2 linked regions of the Rattus norvegicus genome follow. The protein of the gene in region 2 interacts with the protein of the main gene of each other region in a pairwise test. Links are inferred from orthologs where the notes say so. Each region holds a gene or a part of one and is shown on either strand. Other genes may lie near its edges.

The links.
Region 1: the proteins of Dctn2 (region 2) and Gadd45a interact in binary tests that used the Homo sapiens proteins (3 or more experiments, as listed by UniProt). The link is inferred for Rattus norvegicus from reciprocal best matches to the Homo sapiens genes DCTN2 and GADD45A.

Annotation. Positions count from the first base shown.
Region 1 is NC_086022.1:97,483,879-97,488,240, forward strand, and holds Gadd45a (growth arrest and DNA damage-inducible protein GADD45 alpha), read right to left. Parts: upstream 2,922-4,362; 5' UTR 2,772-2,921; coding exon 2,728-2,771; intron 2,639-2,727; coding exon 2,537-2,638; intron 2,452-2,536; exon of another isoform or gene 2,433-2,451; coding exon 2,195-2,432; intron 1,298-2,194; coding exon 1,184-1,297; 3' UTR 619-1,183; downstream 1-618. UniProt on the Homo sapiens protein: In T-cells, functions as a regulator of p38 MAPKs by inhibiting p88 phosphorylation and activity.
Region 2 is NC_086025.1:64,976,012-64,980,380, reverse strand, and holds the start of Dctn2 (dynactin subunit 2), read right to left. Parts: upstream 2,916-4,369; 5' UTR 2,806-2,915; coding exon 2,770-2,805; intron 1,932-2,769; coding exon 1,863-1,931; intron 1-1,862. UniProt on the Homo sapiens protein: Part of the dynactin complex that activates the molecular motor dynein for ultra-processive transport along microtubules. In the dynactin soulder domain, binds the ACTR1A filament and acts as a molecular ruler to determine the length.

The sequences.
Region 1 (4,362 bases), on a different chromosome or scaffold from region 2:
CCTATTAACTACCCCTTACCTCCCATGTTATCTACCTACAACACTGACCATGTCACTTCCTTCTGCAGACTGTGGCAAGTTCACAGAAGGAAGCTCGAATACATAATGGTGATGTAAGAACTCCTGTCAGCATCTGAGTCGAACCCCCACCTTTCCAACCCTCTCTCTCACTTATCTCCCTACACCAGAGGCACGCAGCGTCACCCTTGCAGGTCTCTCTGCGGGCTCTGATCTTTCATGCCTGCACCATTGCACAAACTTTTGTAGCTGTTAGCAATACCCTTTCCCTGTCTCTACCTAGAGAAACTAAGCTCATTTCTTAAGCCTCCAATAAGATGATTTTTTTCCCCTCAGTAAAAGCTTCACTTATCTTCAAGCAGCTTTGGTAACCCTCCTCTCTGCTTCTATGTTTTGCATGCAATTAATTATAGCATTTTAATAATTCATTGTAATTCAGACTTTGCAAGGTGACTCTTTCTCCATATTCCCTTTGCCCTTACCCAAACCCTCTACCATCACCCATCTTTCTGCCTGGTGGCTTTAAAGCAAAGTTTCAATACAAAGTCTGATAAGAGTCCATGTTGGAAAACACATACCACACATTGAGAAACGACACAGTTATTCCATACCAGTTTATTTTAGATAATGTGCTTCAAAAACGTTTTATCATAAATAACCTTTCACATCATAAAATAACTTAGTACGATTTATAATAAAACTTCTGAGAATTTAACATCTCATCAAAATACATTAAACTGTGGCTTGAAAATATGATTAACCCTTTTCACTTTTCTTTTATTTGAGGGCATGAAGACCAAAAAAAATACCCAAAATATTGCTACACATTTAAAGTTTCAACAAAGCAATATTTGGTTTACTTTACTGTAACCCGGCCATCCTAAATTAATAGTTTTCTTTCTTGCACAGTTCTTTGTAGTTTTTTTGTCCCTTTTGACTTGGATTTCTGTTTCCACACAGCTTCCTCCTTCAGTCTCACCTCTCTCTCCTTCTGCAAAGTCATCTCCTAGCCCTCCTGTAGTTGAACTCAGCCCCTTGACATCAGTTTCTGTAATCCTTGCATCAGCGTGGGGAGTGACTGCTTGAGTAACTACAAAGGTATTTCAAAACTTCAGTGCAATTTGGTTCAGTTATTTCCATTCAGATGCCATCACCGTTCGGGGAATCACCGTTCGGGGAGATTAATCACTGGCACCCACTGATCCATGTAGCGACTTTCCCGGCAAAAACAAATAAGTTGACTTAAGGCAGGATCCTTCCATTGTGATGAATGTGGGTTCTGAGAACAGATTTAGAAAAATTACTTCCCCATAATATGATCAGCGTATGCTACTAGCTGTACTACTTTTGAAAGGGCCAAACCCCAAACATTCTGCCAAACAGCGTTTGGCCAAGTCTAAACACCTGTAATGCACACTGAGCCACACAGTTTTGCATATTAACTACCCCACTCTTCATGAAGTTATCATTCTCAAGACTGCCCTTCCAAGCACGTACCCTGGTGGAGTCATAAGTAAAATACTTCTGAAAAACATTCTCAGGCTGTGTGCACCGTGAGAGCTGCAGGGAGGGCAGCTGAACTCTTTTATCTTTCCTGACAATGAATAGCACTTTTCACTGGCAGCACAAATAATCAGGCTACCACTTCCCTACACAAGTCAAAAGAGTACAAAAACAAAAAACCAGAAGACCGAGACAGCAGCACATTTCTTTCTGAAAACACTATCCACCCACCACACATTTTTAAGCGGTGGGGAGGAGGGTGGAGAGGGCTCGTTTAAACAAACTCAAGAGCAGCAAAGAAAAGAATTCCACTCCGTACACTTCACAGAGTATCTATATCCAGGGAGTTAATAAGGTCTGTCTCCTACACGACTTCTATCTTTAGCTTTGACAGCAAATGAAGAATGAAGCTGACTTCTTAACGAAGGGTGAACCGGGAACTTAATGTGGCTTTATCTAATCTGTTCTGCTCAAAGAATTAGTCACACGAGCTAGTGCAGAGGTAGGCAGGGGTAGCTGGGTAGCCTGCTGACTCACTGATATCATCCGCCGCTGGAGGCCACCCATGAGCTTAGACACGCTCCTCACAGTATCAGAACCCCCGCGAGATCAGCGTCCAGCTCGGACAAGGTCCACCCCAGCAGATTCTGAGCTGCAGCCCCTGGTCTCTTACCGTCACCAGCACACAGTGTAAGTCCGGGGTCTGCGCAGCGCCCCCGCTCTCAGCGGGGCTCTTGTCGTTCTCCAGTAGCAACAGCTCTGCCAGCCGACCCGGGTTGCTGACCCGCAGGATGTTGATGTCGTTCTCGCAACAGAAAGCACGAATGAGGGTGAAATGGATCTGCAGAGCCACGTCCCGGTCGTCATCTTCATCCGCAGCCAGCAGGCACAGGACCACGTTGTCCGGGTCTCTACAGACAGTGGGCAACGGTGAGTGTACAAGCTCCGGGGAGCGCGGGGTAGAAGCGGGTGGGTAAGCGGGAGGCGGGGGGCGCGGGTGGCCGGGGCCACTTACACGTTGAGCAGCTTGGCTGCCTCGTACACGCCGACAGTTATGGTGCGCTGACTCCGAGCCTTGCTGAGCACTTCCTCCAGGGCATCGCCCACCGTGTCCATCCTGCAGATCGCAGGGCGAGAGCGGGTCAGTAGGGTTCCGGGCCGCGAAGCCGTAGGGGTGGCGGCCACCGAGTCCGCAGGCACACTTACCTTTCGATCTTCTGCTCTGCGGCCGAGAATTCCTCCAAAGTCATATTGCAAGTGCGAGTCCCTCACGCGGCGCGCGGGCTGCTCCTGGCCCCCACAGTGCCCGGCGCCGGCTCTGCGCTGGCTCCCACCCTCGCGTCTCTGCTCTCGCCGGCTTCTTGCTTAGCCTCGCTGGGGAACACTGCACAGCTGCCTCGGGGCCACTGGAGGACAAAGGGTCCGATCCGGAGATATGGGGCTAGCCCTCAGCCAACCACGGCTAGCCTCATTTACATGCAGCCAGGTCATTGGGTCATGCAAATTAGCAGACTTTGACACTCTGACGCTAGCTCCACCAAGCTAGGCAGAGTTGAGCGGAAGGGGGCGGAGCTATGCGGGAGGGAGCCCCTGGCACGAAGGTGGTGCAGAAAGCCGGTTGGTGGGGTCCGGAGCCAGCTCTAGACAGTTTGTGAAGCCATCTGGTGCAGAGGGCTTTTGGAGTGGTTCAAGTGTCCTCAGCTCTGACTGAAACAGCCTGCCAATTGTTTCTCTGGTTGTGGACATCTTTTGATTGTCGTTTCGTGTTCTTTTGTGTTAAGGGACTGCTTTTTAAAATTTATTTCCAGGGGTTAATGCACTCTAGTCTAGTTGTTATTAGTAAGCATATTTTTAAGTGTTCAGACGTACCAGGCAAAGCTTGCTTCAGAGTGTTTATATGCAAGTTACAGGTTAAGCTGCTTATTCCCAGTAGTATTCTTTTGGTGCCCTGATGGCTGGTTTGATTTGGTTTTGGTTGGTTGTGAGAATTTGAAACTCCAGGGAGGAAAAAAAAAGCACATTTGTGTGTAGTGATGGCACAGTACCGAGTTGGAATCTTTTCCACAAAAAGCTGGTGAAATTTCTGCCCCACTCCTTGTAAGCTGGTGATCACATGTCTAACGAGCCAAGCTCACCGTTCTTAAAACCTTTCCTGAAGAAGGCTCCTTCTAATCAAGTAAGAGCTAAGAGACAAATTCTGTGATATTCAGAGTAACCACAGTCTAAATTCGAGATGCTCATGATGCCCCCTAGACTTCCCATCACAGAGTATGACACTGCCTTCTGTTGCCTATGATCTCACTCTGAATCATGAAGCTGTAACTATAGTTCATTTTAGCCATGTGCTAAAATTTCACCTTTGAGACATAGCAACTTGTAGGTAGAAGGCAAACCTTTATAACTGTAAGCAGGAGTTACAAATTAAAAACAATTTTTAATGTAAACTTTTACTGCATAGTTCAAAACCCCCTTTTTTTGTGAGCTTATTCAATAAATACGAAAACATTGCCTGAACCTACTAGTCACCAAGAGTGGTGAAATGGTGAAATGGTGAAATGGTTTGCATTCCTAACAGTGCTTATATTGAGGTCACTGGGCAGTTAGAGAGGTAAATTTTGCAGAAGTACATGTGACTTTTGCATCCTTAAGTGTTTATTCTTGTGGACAAAATATTTTCCAATTCTCTTAATCTTAATGGAAAATTGATAGGTTGATTTTTCTAGTTCACTTATTGGAGACAACTTTCCTTTTAATCCCTAAGTGCTATGTCCCCAAGAGACAATATCTGAGTAAAGGAACAAGCGTCAGCATGCTTGTGTACCTCATACTTATGCCTTAAAT
Region 2 (4,369 bases):
AAAATAAAAAATAAATTAACATTTGCAGACCCCTAAAATTATTTACAATTTGGCTATATTAGCTGTTCCGAGGAAAGAGAACCAAGAGGCAGGCAGAGGTGGGGAACTTTTTCACAACACAGTCTTAAACATTTTTGTTTTTTGTTTTTTTTTCTACAAATGTATGACTTAATTTGAAAACAAATGAAATTCAAATTGAAAACAATCTGGAGATTCCGAAGCGGCAGAAGACCTCATGGCTCAGCGGCTCCCAGCCAGCACCCAGGCCTCAGAGCCACAGTGTTTCTGGATTGGAGCTGCCCCTCAAACTGCACGTTCACGTCAGCACGTTATGAGCAGCAGCAGAGCCGTTACGCAGCACCCTTCCCAGACACGGCCTTCCTAAGGCCCATAGGGACATGTAGGGGCCAAAGATATTAGCTGACATCAGGAAGTGACTTAGCTCTCAGGGCTCCTGCAGCACTGAAGGTCTCCACACACACTCTTCTAAAAAGCTGGCTGAGCTACGGTGATGAGAGCAGCTGCAGCACCTGAGTCTACAGGGCTGCAGTGATACTGTCTGTCTGCATCAGCGACTGGCAGACAGTCTCTCTCTGCACGCTTGGTATTCTACAGGCAGAGGTTCTGAGCCATCGCTGAGTTGGCTCCTCGTATTATGCTCCCCTGCTCTAAGGACAGAGTTAGCTGAGGCACCTCTTGGAGTGACAGCTTCACACTCAGGTACTTCGACAATGACACCATCTGCATTATCTCCAGATACTTAAGCTTGAGGGAAAAGGGATCGGCAGACTGACATGCCAGCAAATACAGAAGCCACAAGGAACACACTGTTGAGAGAAGGGACAGGGAAGTCATTCCCACAGTGTAGGAAGCACTTCCACATGGGAGAACAAGATAAGAATAAGTGAGCATGCCAAGCCATACCAGTGTAAGGCAGCAGCCAACATCCCCAGAACTAACCAGCCCCACAGACATGGCCACAGGACTGACAGACACACACACTGGGCCTGCTGACAATGTCCCCATGACTTTGGCCACGCCTCCACTGTGCTCTCATAGCATCCACATGAGCCCAGCTCGGTGTGGTTTGGAACTAATAAAACATAATCTATATAGGCCACTGCTGGACCTCTGTGCTCACAGCACTTTACTAACGTCTGTTCATTCCCTTTGGGCTTTTTCTTATGTTACCTATACATATCCTAACTCCTACATTTCCTGTATACATCCTAACTGTCTCGGCAAAAATCAAAAGAGAATGAACATATTCTTTTAAATGATAATAAATTCCTGGTTAAAGTGTGCCCCCCACCACCCACCGACTCCTTACAGCACACAGAGCAGACTTAATATATTATTACCATTGTCTCTTCTCTGCTGATTACACCTTCCCTAATGGTTAGTACAGTTCCAAATTCAAGTTCTTGCTAAGTACTAATAACGATTTAATTTAATGATTGAAATATCTTATAAAATAAAAAAGGCCCACCCTAACCTTGAACAATGTATTATGTTCAAGTTTCATAATTCAACGCGTGGTTTAGAACCCAGGGGCCTCACTAATCGATTGCTAGTCCAGAATGTAACTGCTTAGAGATACTTCAATTGTATTTAATAAGACTTGGGTTTTACAGGTCCTGTTAGTTGTAATCTCACTGGCTTGACTCTCCTTTCTAGTATCGTTCACTGGTGGCTGCCAGAAGCTGAACAAGGCCTTTAAAAGTTCTGAGACCTACATACCACCCAGGCTGGGGTTGGCATACCCACTTATTGTTGTGGCTTGCCAGAGAAGGGAAAGGGCCTGTATCTGGGGAGAAAGGTCAGAGTCCCAAGGGATCCTGAGGTGTAGCACATAGTCTTACCGCATCAAACTCTGCTTGATCATCCTCAGGTAGGTCGCTGGTTTCATAAACATCTGGCTCGTTCCTGGCCTGCAGGGAGAAGCAGGGATCACCCAGACTCATTTCCCAGCATTCCTCTCTTATCCCATTTCCTTTGAACAAGGTACTGGAAAACCACACTGTATCTCAAAGATTCTGTCCTCCACCTCCCCTGTCAACTGTATGTTGGTTCCCTTCTCTCGGTGGGGTGACCACAGGTACATAGTGGGACCTGGGATAAAATGACCAGTGTTAAAGAAAGATGTTACCCTGAACACTGCTGAGAGGCTAGTCCTTGCTAATCATTTTGTCCTAGTCTGGAGTGAGGGTTCCTTGAGTTAGGCCCTGCACATCACTATGCAAGGGTTGAGAGTGACTCAGGACCTTAGTTCTCAAGGTCCTGTATACCAACCTCCCAACCCTGAGAATGCAGAGAGGGCAGCACGAACAGAGGATACATGCCGGCTTGTGTATGAGGAGCAAGCACACAGGCGCACGCAATGCACAGATCTCCCTGGCAAGAAGGCCATCAAGTGGCCTGGTGAGTATGGCTGGAGTACGGATGCGGGGGCGGGCAATCGGGAAATTTGGGGCGACAAGAGCACTGTTGACATGGACGGTACAAACACTCGGGCACAAGTGGTAAGCGCCTGGAAGTGATTTCTGGGCGGAGAAACCCGCTACTGCCAGAGAGGGGGCCCGACACGGTCCAACGGCCGGCCCAGCCGGCTCTGGAGTCCAGAAGGTGCTGCGGCCGTCCAAGGGCGAGCGGCGGGAACCCTTGGGGCGAAAGGCCTGCCAGCGGGAGGGGTCGCGGGCTGGTTTCTGTTAGGGATCCTCGGGAGGTCGGGGGCGCGGTCTGGGGAGCCGGGCCCGGCCCTGTACTCACAATGCCGGGGAGATCGGCGTATTTAGGGTCCGCCATGGCGGCGGCGAAGCGGGGCTGGGGGAACCGGGGCCTTGGAGGAGCCGGGCCGGTGACCGAGTGGGGGAGAGGCTGGGTCCGGGTCCCCGGCTAGGCGACGATAAGGGGAGCGGCGGAGGAGCAGGAAGTCTCGCGACAGGAGCAGGCCGGCAGGAGGGGACCGCAAAAGTCGCGAGGATAGCCGGCTACCACACCCCTGGACAGGCTGGGATTGGTGAGAGCGACAGTGAATGAGGTAATGGCGAGGAGACGCCGCCTAGCATTGTGGGATATGTAGTCCTGGTCTTCTGGGGCTTGGGCTGGCAGTGACAATAACAACCTTAGGGAGCTATTACATACATTTTATCTCTTTTCGTCTTTAATAGTCTATGAAAGGAGTTTCATAATTCCTGCCGTAGATAACCTGGAAATTGACTAGATGAAACCACACAGCCTGCCACGGCATGCTGTTTACAGAAAGATTTTATAAAAATGTAAAGAATGGAAAAGTAAGGCCGTCTTTGCAGTTAGAGCTTCTGGAAAAAATAGAGGATCCTTAAGTAAATTTTAATTTCAGGAGCTGGAGAGATGTCTAAGGGGTTAAGAGCACGGCCCTCTTGCAGAAGACCTGTGTTCTGTATAACTCCCCGGTACCAAGTGCCCTCTTCTGGCCTCTGAGGACACCAGACACACATGCAGACAAACACGCAGACACATAAAATAAATAATAATAATTTTTAAAAAATTAACTTCAGGTGGACCACTAACAATTGTTAGTATAAGCACGCTTCTTATTATTATACTTCTGATATACATATAATAATCTGAAAACCAAGTTTATCTGAGTGTGCTATTTCTTTTTTTCCAAAATTCTGGACATCTTAAATGGAAAAGTCCGGGCTCACAGTCTGACTGAATGCTCCATGATGGTCATCAATTCATTAATAGTTCCCCAGAAATTAGGAGGGAGGAATTTACACAGGTCTCAAACTTTAGTTCAGGGTGGCCTGGGACTCACTTTTCAGTGCTGGGGATTAAACTCAGGACCTTGCATAGTAGCTTTGTGTCCAGATCAACAACAAATCTTTCTGGAGGAGAGACATGGTATAGGTAATCTTCTTACTTTGCTTATGCCGTTGCCTGACAATAGAAACCCCAATTTGATTTAATTTAATTTATTTCTTTGTGTGTTGTGTGTGCACACACATGCATGTGGAGATCAGCGGGCAACTGTTATTCATCTGTTTTCTCTTCCCACCAGGGGGGTCCTGCAGATCAAATTCAGGTGTTTGGAAAACCCCTTTGCCTGCTGAGCCATCTCACTGGCTCACTTCTGAAACAAAAGAAAAGGCTGGGTGTGGTGGCACATGCCTGATCTAGGGAGTCCCAGAATCTCTATGTAGCTCCAGCTGTCTCGAAACAAGAGCAGAAGAGGAGAAGGAGGAGGGGGTTTGGGGGTGCGATGGGAGGTGGGAAACAAATAGAAAACCTACTCTGTGCTTGTAGAGAAATAAAAAGACACACTCAGGATAAAAGGAAGTTCTCCAGCCAAACATACTGGTGCCCACATATGTTCCTGGCACTT